Linked DNA regions of Arabidopsis thaliana. The protein of the gene in region 3 purifies or fractionates together with the protein of the main gene of each other region. This does not show direct contact. Each region holds a gene or a part of one and is shown on either strand. Other genes may lie near its edges.

Region 1 (4,052 bases), on a different chromosome or scaffold from region 3:
AAATAAACTTATAAACAAGGCATACCATCAGGTACAATAAAAATATGATAAAGAAAAAAATAATGGCTTTTGCATGTCTACAATCGTTTCATTATTCTGTGCATCTAATGTCATTACATCGAACAAGGAACCAAGGTTTTGAATCTACAAATGCATCAAAAAAAACCTTTTAAATTTAAAGAGCTACCCATATATTAAAGAGGATGGGAAGACTTTAAAGTCCACCTTCATTGACAAGTCCTTGCTACAACCAGTTGTGAAAAAATCAACTACATGTATACATTCATAAAATAATACTTATTGTGAATCTAGAGGAAGAAAATATGCATACTTACCGTTGACCAGTTTTGTGGCAGGAATACCTGAAATCTTCGGTCCAATCCTCAGTCCAAAAGTTGTTGAGCAAGATACATTTTGCGAGTCTTAAAGAAAATAAGACTCATCATAACAATGCATAACCTAATAAATTTCCTAAACACTTGAACAATGGATAACCAAGTTTACCTTTAAAGTATTCTTCGTATATATGTAGACCTCAGCTTTTCAAACGCCTTTATTAGTTTAACGAGTTCTGCAAGACTAAACGTCTGACAAGAAATTTCAGTTGATGATAAATGAGTAATTAGCAACAGAGATAGGAATGTCATGGAGAATAAAGTCAGAGAAAATCACTGCCGCCAAAGTTCTAATAAGAAACCTATTGTACCCATAAAGAGAAGCAATATCATCTTTAAGCTGGTCAACATAATCAGACATGTGAACGCCTTCTACTATCTATAATTATATCCGACACTCATATTCAAGATTGGTAAAGACACTCATATTCAAGATTGGTAAAGAAGTTGATGTGAGCGTATCTCGTACAATTAAGTTGTATAAGATGCTATTATAATAACCGATTGTGACAAATCTACATTTTTTAATCCGAAATTCACTAAGATTAACAAGTACTAAGTTTAGAGTCTAATATAATAGCATTTTTCATCATAACACATGATACAAATCATACTTGAATATCAACTTGATGTACCCTTTGGTCATCATGTTATATTATAACAAATACAATGCATTTTATGCTTAGGCATCAAAATAAAAAGGCATACTTTAGAATTTATTTTTAGGCTTTTATTTTTTAAGAAAAATATTATAGGTCTTTTTTATAAATTCATTTTGTTAATCTTTATTTTCTCCATATATTGTGGTATTTAAAATTTTAGATTAATAAAAAAATTAATTAAATAATTTGTTAATGAATTTAGTTTAGTAAATTTTTGGTTTTTTTTAAAAAGTTAAACCTTAAATTTCTTGCAAAATGGAAGATATTCTAAGGTGTACATTGCTTAGATTTGGATTACAAAATTTTAAAAAAAAAGTTTGCTTAATTAATCAGATAAATCTGTTGGCTTTGCTGTCAAATGAGATAATTATGGTTAAAAACATAACCTCTCATTAATTGTTAAAGCCAAGCAAGTTTTACCTTTTGCAAAACACCAAAGCGTTGTATGTCAGCTTCTTCGTTAATGGACATTTTGATCGATCCAAATTCTGATATTAGCTGCATAGATAGAAGTTAGCATTTGAGTTAAAACCTGACAATTCAGTTAAAACATGACAGACGAGTTGAATTTTTACTCCAGTTCTAGTTGAAGGCGCATTCACCAACACCATATCCTTTGAGTTTATATGGAAAACCCTAGATAGCTGAACGGGAAGGAATAATAGAAAATTATTTCAGAACTTTTATTACCCTTAATATCATCAATAGTGAGGTTCAAGAAGCTAACCTTTGTATTGATATTGTAATTGGAAACAACTGTATTTGTAATCCCCATTCGATGGAGATTGGCATAAAGTGAACCAAGCAAGTGTTCAGTAGACGCATTAGCAAATATTATACCTTTTATTACCATAAAGCGCCCAGACAGATGTTCAGGAGTTTCCCCAATGGGAAGACTTTCAGGTTCATCTTCAATGACAAGTCCATGCTACAAGCAGTTTTGAAAGAATCAAGTACATGTATGTATGAACAACATAATACTTGTTGTGAATCTAGAGGAAGAAAATTTGCATACTTACCGTTGACCAGTTCTGTAGCAGGCATACGTGAAATCCTCGGTCCAAAAGCTGTTGAGAAAGATATATTCTCCGAGTCTTAAGCAAAAAAACAAAACTCATCATAAAAATGCATAATCTCAAAACTTTACTAAACAATTGAACAATGGATAACCAAATTTACCTTTAGAGTGTTCGTCCATATATATGTCGGCATCGGCTCCTCAAACGCCTTGATTAGTTTAAAGAGTTCTCCAGAGTCATATTCAAAATGCCTTGATTATGCGACGCCTTGATTATCCGACACTCATATTCAAGATTGGTAAAGAACTGAAAGTGAGCTTATCTCGTACAATTAAGTTGTATAAGATGCTATTGTAACAACCGGTTGTGACAAATCTACATTTATAATCCGGAATTCACTAAGATTGTCTTAACAAGTACTAAGTTTAGAGTCTAATATATAATAGCACTTTTCATCATAACACATGATACAAATCATACTTGAAAATCAACTTCATATATCCTTTGGTCATCGTGTTGCATTATAACAAATACAATGCATTTATGTATAATAAATCAAGCCCGACATTCCACACAATCAAGTGAAGTCATGGCTTAGGGCATCAAGGTAAAAAACATATTTTAGAATTCATTTTTTAGGCTTTTTATGTTTTAAAAGAAATATTATGTTTTCTTTACAAATTTATTTTTGTTGAGCTTTCTTTTCACCATACTTTATGGGATTCAAAATTTTAAATTAATTAAAAATTTCTTCAATCTTCTTTGGCTTCACAAAGCGTGTAAATAATAGTATAGCTCATTACCTCTCAACCTCTAATTGTATTCATGGAGATTTTTATTCTTAATCAGGTCGTCAACCACCTTGGTTACAAAAACTACTTTGTAAAATCTCAATTGGTTAATATAATTCAGTTTGCAGAAAAAAAAATTAATTAAAATTTTAATTAAATATATTATTAATGAATTTAGTTTAGTACAATTTTTCCTTTTAAAAAGTTAAACCTTAAATTGTTTGTAAAATGGAAAATATTGTAAGGTACATTGCTTAGTTGAATACAAAATAATAATAAAAACTTTGCTTGATTAATCAGGTAAATGTGTTGACTTTCTTTGTTTGATACCCTCATAACAACACCAAAATACTGGGATGGGCTTTTAATACGAGCCCATGAAGATAACAGTCACTTTTTTGTTTCTGTATGTGTAGAGGGAAAAAAAACACGTTACGTAGTCTCAATTTGGGAGAAAGAAACGACATACATGTTACATCTTTAAACGATAACAAGTCTATTTAGAACCACTAGTTGTGATTTGTGAAACTCTGAAGTAAAGAAGAAACCACAACAATGGCGTTGTTCTCCCCGCCAATCTCTTCTTCATCTCTTCAAAATCCCAATTTCATTCCCAAATTTTCATTCTCCCTCCTCTCCAGTAACCGCTTCTCTCTCCTCTCCGTCACTCGAGCTTCCTCCGACAGTGGATCAACCTCTCCCACCGCCGCCGTCTCCGTGGAGGCTCCTGAGCCCGTGGAAGTGATAGTTAAAGAGCCTCCGCAATCAACACCGGCGGTTAAAAAGGAAGAAACCGCCACCGCTAAAAATGTCGCCGTCGAAGGTGAAGAGATGAAAACAACGGAGAGTGTTGTCAAATTCCAGGATGCGAGATGGATTAATGGAACTTGGGATCTGAAACAGTTCGAGAAAGATGGAAAAACCGATTGGGATTCTGTAATCGTTGCTGGTTAGATTAGAATTAGATCCTCGTTAAGTTTTTTTGCTCTGTTACTTTGGTGAAAATTCGAAATTTGAATTTGATGTTTAATGTGTTTTGATTTGAAGAGGCAAAGAGAAGAAAATGGCTAGAAGAGAATCCAGAAACAACGAGTAACGACGAACCAGTGCTTTTCGATACATCGATTATTCCATGGTGGGCTTGGATTAAGAGATACCACTTACCTGAAGCTGAACTCTTAAATG
Region 2 (6,602 bases), about 20 Mb from region 3:
AATGCAAATAAAAAAAGAAAAAGGAAGAGTTAAGGATAAATAATCAAATTAAAATTGAGAGGTCCCCAAACAAGATCTGACAAAGATAGATGAAGAATGGGTTGTCATGTTCTCCAACACAAGTCCCACTTTGGTGTGAGAGTTTCTCAATCTCTCTCTCTAACTTCTTACAACCAATCAACAGCTCACTGCCAAATCCCTAATTTTTTTTAAAAAACAGTTCTCTGAAAAATAAGAAAAACTAAACTGAAACAATTCTGAGCCTTTCAATTTCATATATTTTGTTTGGTTTCATACAATTATGGTTTGATATAGTTTGGTTTGAGTCAATTCCAACATATGAAGTGATGAATTAACAAATTAATTAAAAAGTTGATAATTAATCATTTGAACTTAAAATTAACAAAATTTAGTATATTCATTTCGGTTTGTTCCAACTACATTTAGGTTAAAAAATGTTGGGTTTTTCGAAATAAAAAATATTTAGGTTAGTAGTTATAGTTTTTTTTTTGGCCACCCCTAGTTTGGTTCTTGAGTAAAAATAACAGCAATTTAGTGATCGGCTCAAGAACACAACTTAACTTTGATTCTCTTAAAAGATTTTTTTCTGAAACAAAACTTTTGGACATTTAAGGTGGTCTGCCCACGGAGTCCAACAGAGTGCTCACTCTGGGTGCTTTTAACGTTGCACAAATCTCGTCGTGAATAAACAAAAACAAGAAAGCCAATATATGGCACAAGCCTACTATAACCATAGATGATAACGTTTTCGCAAATGTTTTTTCTTCTCTTTGATGAAAAAACACTGAATCATCATTACTTCTCCTCCTTCGCCTTCTCCCGCATGGCTATTCTTTTCTCTTCCCTGCAAACGTGATTATACAAATCATTGTCAAGCAACTATATATAAAAGACAAGTCTAAAGCATTTTGTTCTCTCAGTTCATGGATGGGGATAGATATTTATATACCTAGCTTGAGCTATTTCGTTCTTCCATTCCCGTCTCTTCTTCTTTTGCTTCCTTGGTTTAGATGGCTCTTCCACATTTTCAGATTTTGATTTCTTATCCTTTTTACCTCTCTTGTCCTCCTTTGATTTTGCAAGTTTTTCCTTGTTCTTTTTTTCTTTTCTTTCCTTAGGTTGCCTAACGGGAACAGAAGGCTTCTCCGTCTCTTCAATGGCCTCAGCTTCATCATCATCATCACTAGACACTTCAGCTTGCTCTACAGTTTCTACCGCATCATCATCACCTTCTTCTGAAGATTGCTTCACGTTGCTCATTTTCTTCAGCTGTATAAAGAAAAAGAACACAAGAGCATTACATCAAATTGTGTGGATTATATCAACTATTAGAGTATTGACAAGTGCATGGTTGATCGATTACAATGGCCAAAAGTGAGTACCTTTGCCACAAAAAATCCGTCCATGTTGTGTACATGAGGATAGAAACGTCTAGTCTTGTCCAAAGATGGCTGAAACCGGTGTTCTCTAAATCTGGTAAATCTGATGAAGAGAAGAAGGACAAAGAGTTAGAGACATTATTTAATGTTCCTTTAAATATCCCTCAGATGAAAAACTTGTGCATTACCCTTTTCTGCCAAAATCGAGACCACACGTAACGAGTTTAACATCCCTCTTTTTGAGGGCATAGTCAATGACGGCTTCATTCTGCACAATTTTTTCATACATAAAGAAAAATTAGGATGAATCAAATACAAAGAAGAAAATTATGGGGGAAATTATCAGTTAACTAACCTCAGTAACCATAATTGAACATGTTGAATAAACTATATATCCACCGGTTTTGGAATTGGCATCCACCATATCAATAGCAGCGAGTAGAAGTTGCTTCATGAACAAAAAAGGGTTAACTTAGCATGTGTTTAAGAATGAAAATTGGTCTGTTCAGATATAATAGAAGTTATTTAAGAAGGTACTGCCATACCTTTTGCAAGTGAGCAAATTTCTTTATCTCATCCATGGTTTTCGTTATTTTAACTGATTCATCTTTTGATATAATCTGTATTGGGTAGCAGAGGAGATTTAGTAACAAGGATCTAAAACTTAACTACAGTTTAACAGAGAGTAAGTTCGAAGTTCCTTACTCCAGTCCCACTGCAAGGCGCATCCAACAATACTCTATCAACCGTGTTCTGACCTAAAACCTTGGGTAGCTGACAGCAGCAAAGATAACGAAATAAAGAATAAGTGCAAGAAAATAAAACTGGGCAGCATGTTGAGCAAAATTAACCAGATCAAATTTTATAATTCCAGTCATTTCAGTAGTGTGAATTCAAGTAGATGTTACGGGGTTTTTAACATTTTGTGAACAGGTAGCAGAAATTCAACAGAAAAATCAATGTTCAAGAAGCTAACCTCTCTTCCATCATAGTTACAAACTATGGTATTTGTGACCCCCATACGATGCAGATTGGCAGTTAGCGACTTAAGCCTAGGTACTTTCATCTCATTCGCATATATTAAGCCTGGTAATAGCATCATTATAAACATTACTTAAACCAAAAAAAAAAAACATACGACAGCCAAATAGAATATGGGGATAAGAAGCAAGAGAAACCAATGAAGACATACCCGTATTTTTCATTAGAGCGGCGATATAAGTTGTTTTACCACCAGGAGCAGCACTGCATCGATATAAAATCTTGTTATAAACTCACACAACAAAACAGTCAAACACTAGAATTGGAATCATCACACGCCAACAAGGTCAAACGCTTTTTAGCTGCAGCGATTGTTTAGTAGATGAGTAGATGATGATAACTTACGCTACATCCACAATCCGCTCATTCTCTCGAGGGGCAAGGGCCATCACTGGCAAAAACGAACTAGCACCTTGAAGCTGCAAATACACCAAGTAGAGAGACTTAAGCAAACAATTGCATTCCATAAAGGTGAAGAAAAGGGAAAGACATCAGAAGATCACTTACCATGTAGTACCCAGCCAGATATTCAGGAGTTGCACCAATTGGGACTTGTGAATCATAAATAACAAGTCCAACCTGCAGTAGGACATCAGTAAATAAGACTTAGGACAGATCAACAATAGAAGATTCATAAAAATAGGACTGACAGAATAGAAAATAGTAAGAACAAACTACTTACTTTAGACCACTTGCTTAATGGGTCTAGATTGACTCCTCTGTTCAAAAGTACATCAGCAAGATCCCGTCTTCGAGTCTAAAGCAAAACATACATCACCATGAAATTGCAGAACTTGAAAGTCATAAGCTACAACCCAGTAAGTCACAACCAAGTTCACCTTAAGTGTGTTAGTTCGGATGGACGTAGGCCTTTGCTTTTCAAAAGCTTCAATAAGTTCCATAAGTTCACCAGGAGGAAACATCTGCAAGAGAAATCCCAATTCAACATCCATAAGTAAAGAATATCAGCAACATCCTATCCATACTATATCAAAGGAAAGAAACTAGAGAGTCTCACCTCAACCAAAGTTCCAATAAGAAAACTGTTATAACCATAATAAGAACCGAGATCAGCTTTGAGCTGTTCAACACAAGCTTTCCTCGTGGTGTCTTTTGGCCTGAAAGCCTTAAAATTTTTAAGAGCTCTAACAACTGAAATGTTAAATGAATCAACAATTAGAACACCAATCCAAACCAACCTAGATAAATACCATCACACCAACATTTCAACAGTAATAAAGCAACAAAATTTGGAAATGTTACTAACTCTCTTCAATTCTAGTCTTAAGTAGAGGAAGATCTGGTGGACCACGAGCTTCTTCTTCAAGCTCCTGGACAAATGAAAGATAACAACAACAGTTAGATATATGCTAAAACCAAAATCAAACAGAGTAAGTATTACACATGAAAAAAATGTTACCTCTTCAGTTGGTAGCCTAAACGCATCATGTTCAGGTTCTTCATCATGTACATCATCTTGCTTGATAAAATCCTCCAGTTCAGCAGCAGCATCTTTCTTCTGCATTGCTAAGTCTCTATCAATAGCATCAGATTTCGCCACAATATCGTCGTCGTCAGAGTCAGCATCCGAATCCGCATCTAAAGATCCTTCCTCATCTTCATCGCCGCTACCTTCTAGAAAATCGTCACCCAAAGTCTCTTCATCGTTCTCTTCCTCATCATCAGAGAATAACTGATTAGACCCGTTCTCTCCATCATCAGATTCATCAATCTCTTCTGATTCCACAGCTGGAGAAATATCATCTTCATCAGAACCATCGGAAACTTCGTCATCTTCATCAGAATCATCGGTAACTTCGTAATCTTCTAGAGGCTCTTCCTCCACAACTTCCTTCTTCTGCTTCTTCAATGGAGGTTTGTTCTGAGATTTCGCTCCTTTCTTCAACATTGAAGTTTGGGGTTTCATTGGAGGGGTTTTGGATTTGGTAAGCTGCTTCGTTGGAGGGGTTATCGATTTCGTCGCAGCCTTCTTCTTGTTACGAGTGAGGGCAGGCATGGCTACAGGTTTGAATTAGGGTTTTCTCGCGCGGCCAGGGTTTAAGAGAAGAAGTAGAAGATGATGATTGTTGGAGTACACAAAGGTATATTTGACTGGTGTCTATTATTGGGCTTTTGCCTAAATAATTATCGGCCCAATTTAAAACAAATTGAGCCCAATAACTATATGGTGCCTTGTTATTGATTATTCGATATGTTTATTCATACGCACACAACTTTCAAACTAGTGTGAACACGCAATATACTTTAAAATTTTGTTCCACAACCAAAAACAAATATGTCTCGATCAATAAACAAGACAACGAAACGGTGTCAACTTCGACACGAATCGAAACAACACGATCATCGATCTTGTTGGTACAAGCGTGCTCTTGAACTTGTGAAATAAAAACAACCAAATTTTTGTTTTTCCAAAACAAACAAAAACATTTGGAACAAAACATTAACACGGTTAAAATTCTCTCTACAAAAAAAACTTGTAAACTTTCACAAACTCTTGTTTTTCTACTTTTAGTTCTCTTTTATCTTTAGCGTTGTGACAAAATGTAGTTCCGAGATTTGAGGCATTAATTAAGAAGTTGAAAAGCATATTGGCGAAGTTGACAAAGATGGTTGACCACGTTTTTCCACTAATAGTAGAATAATTGGTTGGGTGGAAATTGGATTTTCAGTGGTCCAATTCTCAAACTTGTTCATCGTCTTTTTCTAACAAGTTGATGCTAGCTATTGTCATCTTTTCTTTTGGGACCGAGAGAGAAAGAAAACTAAAAAATCTTGAGAACTTGCTCATAATCTGTTAATGGTTTTGTCAATTTCGCTCCCATCAGTCAACGGAAGTTATAATCAATTTGTCAAAATCTCTATGACACGAAAGCACCTTATCTTGTACTAGCATTGTGTGAAATGGGTCGAGAATATATATTGTCATTATTCATTAGTCTTCTGTCTTGTGCGTACAAACTGAGTTGATATCGGCTCTATCTAATCACTAAGCAATCATAATAGATCAGTAACGTATCTAATGATTCTGAGGATAAACTAGTTGCTAAATTAGATTATTACTATTATCAGTTTTATGTATATTTACCAATAAAAAGATTCACTGTTTTATGTAAAAATAATCTTACGAGAACGAGTTAACGTTTAACCCATTCGTTGAATACATGCGTGCATGTAGAACACTCAAACTAAAAATTGGTTATGTCATATGTGTCTTGACCGATGAGATATATACGACTATATAGGGGGATTGGACTACAATCATTTAAGTTGATTTCTTTTCTATTATATATAGTGACACATTACATGTGACGATATGATGTATATAATAAAGATATTTATTTGTCCGCAAACGCATGATATCAAATGTAATATACATATCAATAACGCGTTTATATTAATCTCTAATACGTACAACATATTACAATCTCTACAAATATCGACATGCTTAAAACCAATAACGCGTTCAGTAGAACAATTTAATGCACGTTCACCAACCATTTTAACATCTTATGTTATTTACACTCGCGTAGTTCATAACATTTGGTTATTACTTATTAGTATATGGACCGGCCCTGCCGATTCAGACCTAATGCGACGATGTTTGAGACATCTTAACAATATGACTATGCTATGATGTTTGATCACCACCTCTATTATATAATGTAGCAAGATGATCAATTATTTGAATACAGTTTTAATTTGTTTGAGGACATACCTAAAATGCTCATATTTTTCTCATTGAAATTACCTTTGAGTCGGTGTTATTCATAAAAAAAGAAGACCATTTATTAGCTACATCATTTTCACATGACGGCTAGAAAAGTCTCATTCAAGAATCTGGTTGTGAAAAGCTAATAAATATATTAGGCCTATCGAGCCAAAAGTTGTTACACATGATTTCAAACATCAAATAAGTCATCGGAGTCAATATTAAAAAGTTCTACGTACATTAAATTCATAAGTTTTGGCAGTTAGAGACATGTCAAGTTGACAAGTTTCATCAGAACATGATCTTTTAGTCTTAGAGATAATTATGTAATTAATATGGCAATAGAGCTAGCTGGCAATAGATCTTAATTATCTAATTAAAGATGAATCACAGTCAAAATCGTTAGAGCTGGCAATAGAAACGTAAAAATG
Region 3 (4,927 bases):
CCTACTAGATATTAGCTAGTATTATGCCCGGTAAAAACCATATTGCAGGATCTATGGTCATAGAATACTTAGTAAACGGAAAAAGAATCACTCACATCATAAAGCACTTCCCCAAGTTTCATCTTGACAGCACCACTTTTGTAGACTAACAGTTTGCCCATGTAACCTTCTGGCAAGGCTTTTAAATCAACAGTCTTCTTCTCAACGGGGCCTTTGATATTTGGCCTTGTTTCAAGGTTTTCTGTTGGTGTTGATGCCAAAGGAACAGAAGGTAGCCTCATAAAAAACATTTTCTGTTCTCCACTATCCTCCTGCCAACAAGTGATCCACATTATGTAACTATAGAGTTTGCGTGTGAGTTTTGGTTTATCGAATTTTTATATGTAATGTCACTAACCATTAGACCGAGATTAGCGGCTGTGTTAAGTGAATCTTCATGATGTCCTCCAGCCTGCATAAACTCCTCCACGTCAAGAACCTCTGCAATAATGAGCAGCATCTTAAACATAGGCAAATGGTAATCAAGAATCTGCTTTCACAAAATTGTTTTATTTTTCTTCTCAAGCAAATATATGAATACCTGGATCTCCTGCATACGGTCTCCTCATTGGAAGTGTGATAGGGTAATAGCTGTAGTAATCCTGTGAGACAATCCAAGAATTAATTATGCATCAACATTATCGATATATGAGTTCGAGATATAACTTTAGGGACAGGGTACTGTTATACCGACCCATGGTTCTTTATACTCTATCTCCTGAGTAGAGGTTGATCCATAAGCACCATCTGCACAACAACCAGCATGTATCAACACCCCCGCAGAATTATCAAAAACTTGTGATGTGTTGTGAATACAATTGCCTATGTTTTTTTTTGTTAAAATATATAATTGCCTATGTTTTAAACAAAGAAAAGAAATTGTTACTTGATCTATTGAGGTACTTATTTGATCTGGTTGAATTCACCACTCCCCCCAACCAAGCAACTTGAGAAGCAGGAACTGTATGATACATAACAAAAACTAAATCAGTGATGTATCAAAGTGATGTTTTTTTTTACAACTAGATAACGTAGCAGCAAACAGAGTAAAGATACGAGTCTGAGTTTCAAGTTAAAGACACTACCTTTCTTGTCCGCTTTTGGCTTGCGCAATGATCTTTCCTAAGGCAAACAAAAATCAAAATTAAAGAGAACTGAGTAAGTAAGAAGACACAAGAGCAAAGACAATTTCACTCAACGATTAAAAAAAAAAAGCTTACATTAACTCTGCGTAGCAATTCCGATGCTTGTGCACTGTTACTATTATCCTCAACCACTTCACTGCATTCATAATTCAAAAGTTTCAGAAGAAAAACATCTGTTTATGTTAATCAGATCAGTCATTAGTGTTGCTTACGGTTTAACTTCAGGTTTTGGCACACGTTTGGGTGGAGCTTTTGGGGCAAACTTCATCTGCAGAAGAACGCAAAATCGAAAATTTAGCAGAGCCAAATATTTTATCTAACATGAGAAGTTAACGATGATAGCAAACACAAACCTTCCGTACTGGTGGTTTCTGCTCCATTGCAATTGAATTCAAACACTTCGACTAAATAAAAAGAACCCCAGAAGAATATTTAGTTACGATTATTCAAGTATTCGGTTAATATTTTGAAACGAAAAATTCACAGAATTAAGAATCAGAAGCTGACCTGTGACTCCAAGTTCAATGACGGCCAACAGCTTGAGAAGGAGGATGATCACCAATTAAGGAGAGAACCCATAAATTAGGGCCTGTGCCAAAACGGCGGCGTTTTAGTCTAACCATGGTAAAAAAGTAAACCGGTAAATTAAAGGAAACAGACATAGTAATTCCAAACGTTAAGCGCGCTTTTTAAGGCCCATTTTTCAGCCCATTAATACGGCCCAATTTGTAAACGTCGGCGAGAATTCATGCTTTCGTCTTATTTCCCCTCGACGGCGATTCTCACCGCCTGGAAATAAACAAATCGTCGTTGTTCTCGTCTAACGCTTGTGCAATGGCAGATAGTTCGTCGAGGAGGAACCTTAAACGATCCTTCTTAGAAGATGAAGATTCCGATAAACAACCTCCGTAAGTTTACAATCTTTTCCGAAAACCCTAATTTCCAATTTTGTTCTGCTAAGCATGACGATACGTGTTTCTTCTTTTCGTTTCCGGTTGATTGACTCAGTTTTAGGGTAGGAAAAATTGAATTAGTAGCTCTTGTTTCTTCCATCTGATTCTCTCTTCTCCTCAATTTTGTTAGACTTAGACATTGAACCTGAAATTGAATGCCAAACATATGATTGTCTTGAACTTGGAGTATTAATCAGCTTTGAAATTTGTCTCAGTTACAACTTGAGTTTGTGTGCATACGCTATAATGTGGATTCTAATGGAGGATTCTCTCTGGCAGCGAAAAGCGAGTACGGTTTCCAAAGGGGAAGAAGTCGAAACCTGAACAGCTCTTAGAGGAAGAAGCTTTAGCCCGCCGCAAAGCCCGTGATGCTGCTAAGGAGCGTGCAAAGATTCGCAATCAGAATACTACTAAGCTCTTTATCGAAGATGACAGTGATGATATTAATCAGGCTCAGGAGACTTATGAGGTAGGATTTCTACTATCCTCTTTTTGTTTGTTGACTGTTCCTGGAAGCTAATTGTGTATATTGCGAGATCTCAATGATGTTTGTTTGCAAAAAGAGTTATGCTGATGTGATTTATTTCATTGTAGGATGATGGCAATCGCACAGAAGATGGGATCCAGATTGAAGCTTTTAGTCTGGACAGAGAGAAAGAAGAAGGTTACTTTGATGCTGATGGGAACTTTGTAGAATATGTTAGAGAAAAGGAAGTCAAGGTACACATCTTTCATTGTAAAGCTTAGCTCCAAGATATCTTGTGTATTGTCTTTCATTATATGTGTTTTCTTTCAGGATGCATGGCTTGACAGTATTGAAAAAAATCCAATGTATATGGGACGATCTGCTGCAAATGATACTGAGATGGATGATGATAGTGGGAACGAAAAAGCAGGGGATGACCTTTCTCAAGATGAAATCGGAGTTAGAAAGAGGCGCATTGCTAATGTCCTTGAACCAGGAGAAACGGTGAGACTCATTCTGCGTTTTAACAAGTTTTTGTTTCAAACATGAAACATGGATTGTATTAGTTAAAAATGTCACCTTAATATAGCATTGTTGATTATACATACTTCGAACACGTAAAATAAATCGGTTTCATGTTACAGGTCTTGCGAGCTTTAAGGAGGTTGAAAGGGAATTCGAATAATCGCAAGGAGAAGATGACATCTGAGACCAAGCTTATCTTTGATCAGCTTACTGAGGATGCGGACAAGCTTATCGAGAACGGCGACTACAGTAAGTCTCTAATAACTTATGCTACTTCAACAACAAATATGATGTCCTCCATTTGTTAATATATGTGTTCCTCTTTTTATGTATTGAAGATGTTTATCATGAGGAGCAAGAAGTTTTCCAACGTGAAGCAGGTTAGAGATTCTAATACTTTTTCAATATCAGCTGTAGATGTAGCTACGTTTCCTCTGCTTTGTGATATCACCTTTTCACAACATTCGGGAACAATTGGCTTGACTTTTCACATTCTTCTTCTCTATGTTGGTCTTTTAGAAGGATATGAGAGACTAGCTCAAGCGAAAGAAAATGGGACTGCCAATATAGTATCTTGTGATATGTTTGGCGATGATGAGAATGCTCCTGAACCTTCCTCTGATCTACAACCGTCTAGCTCCATCTCGGGCACTCAGCTTAATTCTGATTATGTGTTTGATGAATCTTCAGGGTATGTTTGTATATACTCTCCTCTCGCGCTCTCTTGTTGCATAAGTCAGCTTTTTGTCCGAAGTATTGTGTTGCTAGCAATATTCATTATGAATCTCAATTTTATTTATCTAAAAGTATTCTATAAATGGTTTTGCAGGTACTACTACAGCAGCAGCCTTGGTTACTATTATGACCCGAACACTGGACTTTACTGCTACGCAACAACCGGAAAATGGTAAAATTTACTTGGGATGAGTTTAGAATTTTGAAAACCCATTACTAATCTCTTTATTCATGTGTTCATAATTTCGATTATCAGCTCAATTCTGGTTATGTGTTTGATTACAAAATATGCGTGCAGGTACAGGTACGATGAAGAGACTAAGGAATATAAAGAGGTGGTTTCTGAAGTTGCTACTGAAGAAGTTTAATTTTCGTTTGTCTGTACTTTTGACTAACACAGGGTCTTGAAATATTTCCCTTGTTGTTTTTAGTTTGAAAGTAAGCACATCATACATGAGTTTATATAAATATATTTGGATTTATTGGTTTTCTCATTGATTTATGAGAAATTATAGAGATGAAAGTAAATTTGGACAATCTTATAATTGTATGAACAAAATTAGCTGTGAAGAAAGAAAACGAAATTATGAAACAGAGCCTGAGAGGTTATCGTAATCCTCACACACTCTCACAGTATGAAGCAAGAAAGTCTCAAACCAAACGTTGACCAATAACACAATCTAACCGGTTCAGACTTCCGGTACAGAACATGTCACGTTTGTATCAGACCGGTTCAGCAGCGAACTGGTAAAGCAGAGATTGAGAACATCGGCATGAATCGGCAGTGAAGAAACAAGACTTCTCGTCGAAAAATCTTTATTTGCTCCTGAGAACTTTTGATCGGATGCGAAACTCTAGTTCTACGATTCTTCTCGTTTGATCGACCCTGCGAAACTTTCGGAGGTTACTTTAGCTTTGATTGCAATCTAAGAGTTCTGAAAATGGCGGAGGAAAGCAGTATGGAAGGTTCTGAAAAAGAAGAGATCGATAGCTCAGGTGGTGGTTTTGGAGATATGGCATCCATGGATTCTATCGAGTCTCGATGGGTTATTCAAGACGATGAT
Region 4 (6,731 bases), on a different chromosome or scaffold from region 3:
ATAAAAAGGAAATAATTGAACTAGCAAGAGACAATTTTGTGAGGTAAGAGTTGCAATTTAATTGGCGATCACTTGCAGCAGCTAAAAACAAAATTTTTAGCGATAGTGACAGTCTTAATGCATTATGCATGTAATTGGTTCGTACGTGTATACTTGCTGGTGCACCGCTTAATAGACTCCGAATTTGACTCGGACTCTTTGTGCGTTGGACGCGCGTCACAGGTGTGTCTTTCGGTCTTGCTTGTGGTCGCAATTGTATGTATCGTTGTTTTTGTTTTGATTGCCAATATGCATCATTGTTTCCATAATCTATCGGTTATACAATATGAAACGCATATTTCCACTTTTATTCAAGTTTCTGTTTCTAAGACACACACTGTCTTATTCAATCTGTTTCATGTCAACGTCTATGACTAGGTTCTATGTGTTATAAATAACTTGCAACTTCACCAAAAACATAATACATTTTTTTTTGACAGCCAAACTACATATATATCCTGCAAATGATAATATTTCAAATTCTAACACAATTTTACAAGAAATTTCAACCAATCAATCAAATTATTTTTGGTAGTTGGAATTAAAATTCACCAAAAATAAATTCGTGTTTTCATTCTTAAAGAAGAAACAGAATCGTTTAGAACTGATTTTAGAAAATTACGTGATTCATTTCAGTTTTTGTTATCAACATCACTAGCTTCAATCATGCATGGGCTGAGCATGTAACGCAGGTAGAGATGTCAAAATGGGTTAAAATTCATGGGTTAACTCAACTCAATTCAACCCATGAACTCTAATGAGTTGAAAATTTTGACTCAAATGAGTTAATGGGTCAAATGAGTTGATGAGTCAATTGGTTTGATGAGTAAAATGAGTTGGGTTGTAATGGTTAATGATTTCAATGGTTTACCCAATTAACCCATCAAGTTTTGTAAAATTGAATTAAACCAACTAAAATTTCTAAACCAATGCCAATTTAAGTTTAACCAACACATTTAAACCAATTTAATAAAATTAATATTTTTCCAAATTTCTTAAATATACAAGCGATGAAATTGATAAAAAGTAAACTCGTAATTTTTCACTAAAAAGATAAACCCGTGATTTTCCCGCCAAAAACGTAAATCCATAATTTTCCCGCCAAAAACGTAAACTCGTAATTTTCCAGCCAAAAACGCAAATCCGTAATTTTCCCGCCAAAAACGTAAACTCGTAATTTCCCGCCAAAAACGTAAACCCGTGATTTTCCCGCCAAAAACGTAAATCCGTTATTTTCCCGCCAAAACGTAAACTCATAATTTTCCCGCCAAAAACGTAAATCCGTAATTTTCCCGCCAAAAACGTAAACTCGTAATTTTCCCGCCAAAAACGTTAACCCGTGATTTTCCCGCCAAAAACGTAAACCCGAGATTTTCCTGTCAAAAATGTAAACCCGTAATTTTCCCACCAAAAACATAAACCCGTAATTTTCCTGCCAAAAACGTAAACCTATAATTTTCTCGCCAAAAACATAAACCTGTGATTTTTCCGCCAAAAACGTAAACCCGTAAAAAGTGGAATCCGTAAATATTTTAAGTTTGATGATAATGAATTAATAATATTAATTATTTATTATTGTTTTATAATAATAATTAATTAAATTATTATTTAAATGGGTTAACCCATTTAACAATTCAATCCATCAAATTAAATGAGTTATGGGTTGACCCAACTCATTTAACATCTAAACTTATTTGATTAAGAGTTGAGTTGGATTACCCATTTTGAAACCCCTAAACGCATACATCAAATAACTTATTGAATTATGTTTTTATAGGTTTTATGAATTCAGTGGCTCGATAATTTATTAGGCTGACAAAAAATAAGTTCGACTACAGCCCATTAGTTAGTATTAGTCAGGCCCATTAGTTAGTATCAATCAAGCCCATTAAGCAACTTTGCTCATCCTCCATCTTTACTAGATTCTTCGACCTTGCTTCTCCTACCTCTGCAATTCTGCTAAACCCTCACGGCGATAAACCCTAAGTTGTAAAAACCGTATCCATGGCTGCTCTTACGCGTAACAAGAAGAAGGGTTCCAATTCACAGACTCCGCCACTGAATAAGCAGACTAAGGCGTCTCCGCTGAAGAAGGCGGCTAAAACCCAGAAGCCTCCATTGAAGAAGCAGAGGAAATGTATTTCGGAGAAGAAGCCCCTCAAAAAGCCTGAAGTTTCCACAGACGAGGAAGAAGAAGAAGAAGAGAATGAACAGTCTGATGAAGGGTCTGAATCAGGTTCTGATTTGTTCTCTGATGGTGATGAAGAAGGAAACAATGATAGTGATGATGATGATGATGATGATGATGATGATGATGATGATGATGAGGATGCAGAACCCTTAGCTGAAGACTTTCTCGATGGTAGCGATAATGAGGAGGTAACCATGGGTTCTGATTTGGATTCTGACTCTGGTGGATCCAAACTCGAGAGGAAATCTAGAGCTATTGATAGAAAACGTAAAAAGGAGGTACAAGATGCAGACGATGAATTCAAGATGAACATTAAGGAGAAACCTGATGAGTTTCAGCTACCAACCCAAAAGGTTACATTTTCCTTTACTTAATTGTGGATTTGTTCATATTCTGGATCTCTGGAGCTATTTGTTAGCTAATCTTTTCTATTACTCTACATTGTTTAGGAACTTGAAGAAGAGGCACGTCGGCCGCCAGATCTTCCTAGCTTGCAAATGAGGATAAGAGAGAGTGAGTAACATTTTCAAATTTTATTCCTTTTTAAGAATTCTGGTGTAATGTTATTATTATGATTGTTTTAAATCTCCTAAGGAATCATCCTCTCGGTTCTTAGTTTAATGGTACTAATTTGTGTTTCAGTTGTTAGAATCCTGTCGAATTTTAAGGACTTGAAGCCAAAAGGAGACAAGCACGAGAGGAATGATTATGTTGGACAGCTTAAAGCTGATCTTAGTTCTTACTACGGCTATAATGAGTTTCTTATTGGAACTTTAATTGAGGTTATTCCCTAGTCTCTGACTTTACTCTTTATGCTTGCTTTGATCTAGAGTTATGTGTAGGAATTCTGTTACTTATACTCTTTAGTTGTAATCTTCTGGCAGATGTTTCCTGTTGTTGAACTCATGGAACTAATCGAAGCTTTTGAAAAGAAAAGACCTACATCTATACGTACTAACACTCTTAAGGTGAACTTGGTTGTGCATTGGAGTGTCTAAAACAAAGTATTTCTCAGCTGTTGTGATATTTCAATTAATGCTGATGTTTGTTTTGGTTAAGACTCGAAGACGGGATCTGGCTGATATACTTTTGAACAGAGGAGTTAATCTAGACCCATTAAGCAAGTGGTCAAAAGTAAGTAGTATTTGCAGATTGTCTTCCATTTTATTTGCGAAAACATTTTTGTGGACCATCTTTAGTTGATCCTGGCATAATATTTGTAGGTTGGACTTATCGTTTATGATTCACAAGTTCCGATTGGTGCAACTCCTGAATATTTGGCAGGATTCTATATGGTACTTGATTTTCTGATTTTTTTTGTACTTTTCGGCTCACACTTTATGGGTTTTCTTATTGTTTACTTAAGTATGTTCTTGGTACATTTTCAGTTGCAAAGTGCTAGTTCGTTCTTGCCAGTGATGGCCCTTGCTCCTCGAGAAAAAGAACGAGTTGTGGACATGGCGTAAGTCATTATCTTACATAAATGCACTATATTTGTGTCTCAGATAAATATATATATATATATATGATGACCAAGCAGTACCTTAATCTGATATTCAAGTGTAGCTTGTGATATGTATCATTTGTTATGATTGTTGTGATGATAAGTGCTGTCAAAACGGAAAAGCCAATTTGATTGTCCCGTGATGTGAGACATATGCAACTAGTATATTGTGATATCTGTAACAAGTTCTTATACCACTGCAGTGCTGCCCCTGGTGGTAAAACAACATATGTTGCTGCACTAATGAAAAATACAGGTATACATATATTGGTTCCTTATTCCTCCAGCCCCATAATTTTAGTCAGTTATATCTAATGTTATAATGTTTATATAACCAGGCATAATATATGCAAACGAGATGAAAGTACCTAGGCTTAAGTCACTTTCTGCCAATCTACATCGCATGGGAGTGACAAATACCATAGTTTGTAACTATGACGGACGAGAGGTTAGTTTCTTGAACCTTTATTCTTCTGTTGACGGTACATGCTTGAGGATGTTAAATATTGCAAACTGGTTGTAAACCATCAGCTCAACCAAATTGAAAAATTACTGGCAAGACTGTAATTGCACCAAATAACAAAGTTTTAAAGACAGCTTCTCTATTATTCCCTTGCATTTTTTATTTATCTCATCTTCTTTGCCTTTCAGCTAACCAAAGTTTTAGGTCAGAGCTCGGTTGATAGAGTATTGCTGGATGCTCCCTGCAGTGGAACTGGAGTAAGAAAGTTTGGACCATACACTCTTATAGTCTTTTAAGTGAATTTCTCTGTTCATAGTTTAATGTCACTTCTACACAATGCAGGTTATATCAAAAGACGAATCAGTTAAAACTTCCAAAAGTGCTGATGACATAAAGAAATTTGCCCATTTGCAAAAGGTATGTTGTTGCCTTAAACAATATCAACTAAAACATTCTTTACATCCAAGACAAATATTTAAACATGAAAATGGCATAAACGCCGTTTATACCCTCTTACTGTGAGTATATAAAGAAGGATGCATTTGGTATATAATGCTAACCATACTCTCTTCTTTTCTTGCGCATAGCAACTTATACTTGGTGCGATTGATTTGGTAGACGCCAATTCCAAAACCGGTGGATATATTGTTTACTCAACATGTTCAGTTATGATACCCGAGGTTGGTGAACCATACTTTTTCTGTTCCACTATTTTTTTTTCCTGGCATCTTCATGTTTTCTCACTAGTTCTATTTGTACAACAAATTATGCAGAACGAAGCTGTCATCGATTATGCTCTGAAAAACAGGGATGTTAAACTCGTTCCATGTGGACTTGATTTTGGCCGACCAGGGTAATATACATTTTCATCTGCATTGAAAAATTTCATGATTCGTCATCTGAACACAAATGTTTTGCTGCATATCTTCAGATTTAGCAGTTTTAGAGAACACCGGTTCCACCCTTCTTTAGAGAAGACTAGACGTTTCTATCCTCACGTGCACAACATGGATGGATTCTTTGTTGCAAAGGTATACACTTGGTTAACCTATGAATAGCTTTTCCCTGCAAAACAGATGTTTTATAAAATATGAATAGTGATTAAACCAACGAGGTATTTACTTTTTCCTTTCTTTGTTCTGCAGCTGAAGAAGATGAGCAATGCAATGCAGCCTTCAGGAAATGATGAGCCAGCTGTAACAATGGAGCAAGCTCAGGTGTCGTCTAGTGATGATGATGATGAGAAAGCTGAGGCCATTGAGGAGTTGGAGAAGCCACCTGTTGCCAGTGGGCAACCCAAGAGAGAGAGTAACACTAAAGAAGACACGAACAAACGAAAAAATCCAAGGTCAAAGGAAATTCACAAAGGCAAAAGGAATAAAAACACAAAAACCGAAAGTGGTAATGTGGAAGAACCCAGGAAGCAAAAGAAGAAGAGATCACAATGGAAGAATGAGATTGCTCAAGCTAGGTAAAAAAACTAAGTGTTTCCTTGACAGACAAAAGAGAAAACCTTCTTATGTACATTGTTGTATCATACACCCATTTACCCATAAATGGTTGAATATGTTGCAGGGAAGAAAAAAGAAAAACCATGAGAGAGAATGCTAAGGAGACGCCAAAGCACAGGGGATAAGAATAGGTTTGAGATCGTGATGCATCTTGAAGAGTAGAATATTTCGGTGTTCTGGCCATGGCGAAGGACACAAGAAAAGAGGCTTCATTGGCTGAGGCCAAGGTATCTATACAATGGCTTTCTAGTTTTGATTAATTTACTGCGTAAAGAAAGGGTGACACCCACATGGATTAGCTGTTACATGTCCAAAAGTTTTGTATCAATCACATAACTTGATTTTTGTGAGAGGCTGTTTCTATTTTCCGTTTTCAATTGGAGTTGTAAAATTTATTGAAAACAAAAACGAGTCCCTACTTTCTCTCACAAGTGTGTTTGAAAGGCTATTCATTTTTCTGCTCCTAGCAATTATTTAATAAAATACATAAATCTTGGAGGGTTGGGTCCATACCACCACATAAGGATAGAATTTCTCATAGTATTGATTTGACGAAAAAATAAGGGAATTGGGAGTGAGCTGGTCATTGTTAGGGAGAGATGTGAAGGTTTTCTGAAGTGGGACTTGAGTGTTGGAGAAACATGACAATCCAATTCAACTCTTCTTCATCCATCTTTATCAGATTCTCCTCCGTTGGGGACCTTACATTTACTTCTCTCACACTAATCTTCTTGTTTCTATTTTTAGATTATAAGCCCATATTATAACTGCTAGTGCTTGTAGCCTTGTATACACAAACTCACATGCATCACATATAACATCGTATAATTGCTGTATTCACTTTATATTTGGATATCCAAGATTATAGAAAAGAGATTCCTTTGCAGGACCCAAAAGATACAGCTTTTAAAAGCAAATGAGTTCATTTTAATTTCTTGCTAACCAAAATGGTAAGTAATTTTGTGGACTTATGGTATGGATAAATAACAAAATCTCAATAAACCATTGAAAATAGGAAATCAA

Evidence for each region.
Region 1: the proteins of AT5G09390 (region 3) and AT4G17590 fractionate together in Arabidopsis thaliana (co-fractionation; one large-scale study listed by BioGRID). This does not show direct contact.
Region 2: the proteins of AT5G09390 (region 3) and OLI2 fractionate together in Arabidopsis thaliana (co-fractionation; one large-scale study listed by BioGRID). This does not show direct contact.
Region 4: the proteins of AT5G09390 (region 3) and AT4G26600 fractionate together in Arabidopsis thaliana (co-fractionation; one large-scale study listed by BioGRID). This does not show direct contact.

The regions. Positions count from the first base shown.
Region 1 is NC_003075.7:9,800,337-9,804,388, forward strand, and holds AT4G17590 (NOL1/NOP2/sun family protein), read right to left. Parts: upstream 2,256-4,052; coding exon 2,237-2,255; intron 2,152-2,236; coding exon 2,077-2,151; intron 1,967-2,076; coding exon 1,785-1,966; intron 1,702-1,784; coding exon 1,633-1,701; intron 1,556-1,632; coding exon 1,478-1,555; intron 775-1,477; coding exon 673-774; intron 588-672; coding exon 507-587; downstream 1-506. Other genes in the region: LIL3:1 (Chlorophyll A-B binding family protein), read left to right, coding at 3,423-3,816, 3,915-4,052.
Region 2 is NC_003076.8:22,644,926-22,651,527, forward strand, and holds OLI2 (S-adenosyl-L-methionine-dependent methyltransferases superfamily protein), read right to left. Parts: upstream 4,593-6,602; 5' UTR 4,459-4,592; coding exon 3,862-4,458; intron 3,773-3,861; coding exon 3,709-3,772; intron 3,594-3,708; coding exon 3,460-3,593; intron 3,365-3,459; coding exon 3,281-3,364; intron 3,199-3,280; coding exon 3,124-3,198; intron 3,021-3,123; coding exon 2,949-3,020; intron 2,861-2,948; coding exon 2,787-2,860; intron 2,646-2,786; coding exon 2,593-2,645; intron 2,487-2,592; coding exon 2,377-2,486; intron 2,175-2,376; coding exon 2,106-2,174; intron 2,021-2,105; coding exon 1,946-2,020; intron 1,849-1,945; coding exon 1,756-1,848; intron 1,669-1,755; coding exon 1,589-1,668; intron 1,504-1,588; coding exon 1,404-1,503; intron 1,291-1,403; coding exon 971-1,290; intron 866-970; coding exon 817-865; 3' UTR 523-816; downstream 1-522. UniProt on the Arabidopsis thaliana protein: Involved in ribosomal large subunit assembly, required for normal progression of rRNA processing. S-adenosyl-L-methionine-dependent methyltransferase that probably methylates the C(5) position of cytosine 2268 (m5C2268) in nuclear 25S rRNA.
Region 3 is NC_003076.8:2,911,573-2,916,499, forward strand, and holds AT5G09390 (CD2-binding protein-like protein), read left to right. Parts: upstream 1-1,909; 5' UTR 1,910-2,018; coding exon 2,019-2,092; intron 2,093-2,416; coding exon 2,417-2,606; intron 2,607-2,731; coding exon 2,732-2,857; intron 2,858-2,933; coding exon 2,934-3,107; intron 3,108-3,247; coding exon 3,248-3,377; intron 3,378-3,466; coding exon 3,467-3,508; intron 3,509-3,647; coding exon 3,648-3,819; intron 3,820-3,957; coding exon 3,958-4,035; intron 4,036-4,161; coding exon 4,162-4,231; 3' UTR 4,232-4,407; downstream 4,408-4,927. Other genes in the region: AT5G09380 (RNA polymerase III RPC4), read right to left, coding at 96-311, 398-480, 581-641, 734-786, 926-1,000, 1,125-1,161, 1,260-1,320, 1,397-1,452 and 1 more; KUP7 (K+ uptake permease 7), read left to right, coding at 4,805-4,927.
Region 4 is NC_003075.7:13,417,586-13,424,316, forward strand, and holds AT4G26600 (S-adenosyl-L-methionine-dependent methyltransferases superfamily protein), read left to right. Parts: upstream 1-1,975; 5' UTR 1,976-2,043; coding exon 2,044-2,583; intron 2,584-2,679; coding exon 2,680-2,743; intron 2,744-2,872; coding exon 2,873-3,012; intron 3,013-3,114; coding exon 3,115-3,198; intron 3,199-3,289; coding exon 3,290-3,364; intron 3,365-3,453; coding exon 3,454-3,525; intron 3,526-3,618; coding exon 3,619-3,692; intron 3,693-3,937; coding exon 3,938-3,990; intron 3,991-4,072; coding exon 4,073-4,182; intron 4,183-4,385; coding exon 4,386-4,454; intron 4,455-4,539; coding exon 4,540-4,614; intron 4,615-4,784; coding exon 4,785-5,050; coding exon of another isoform or gene 5,051-5,054; exon of another isoform or gene 5,055-5,128; coding exon 5,129-5,228; coding exon of another isoform or gene 5,229-5,255; exon of another isoform or gene 5,256-5,342; coding exon 5,343-5,668; coding exon of another isoform or gene 5,669-5,672; exon of another isoform or gene 5,673-5,772; coding exon 5,773-5,833; 3' UTR 5,834-6,206; downstream 6,207-6,731. UniProt on the Arabidopsis thaliana protein: Involved in ribosomal large subunit assembly. S-adenosyl-L-methionine-dependent methyltransferase that probably methylates the C(5) position of cytosine 1586 (m5C1586) in mitochondrial 26S rRNA.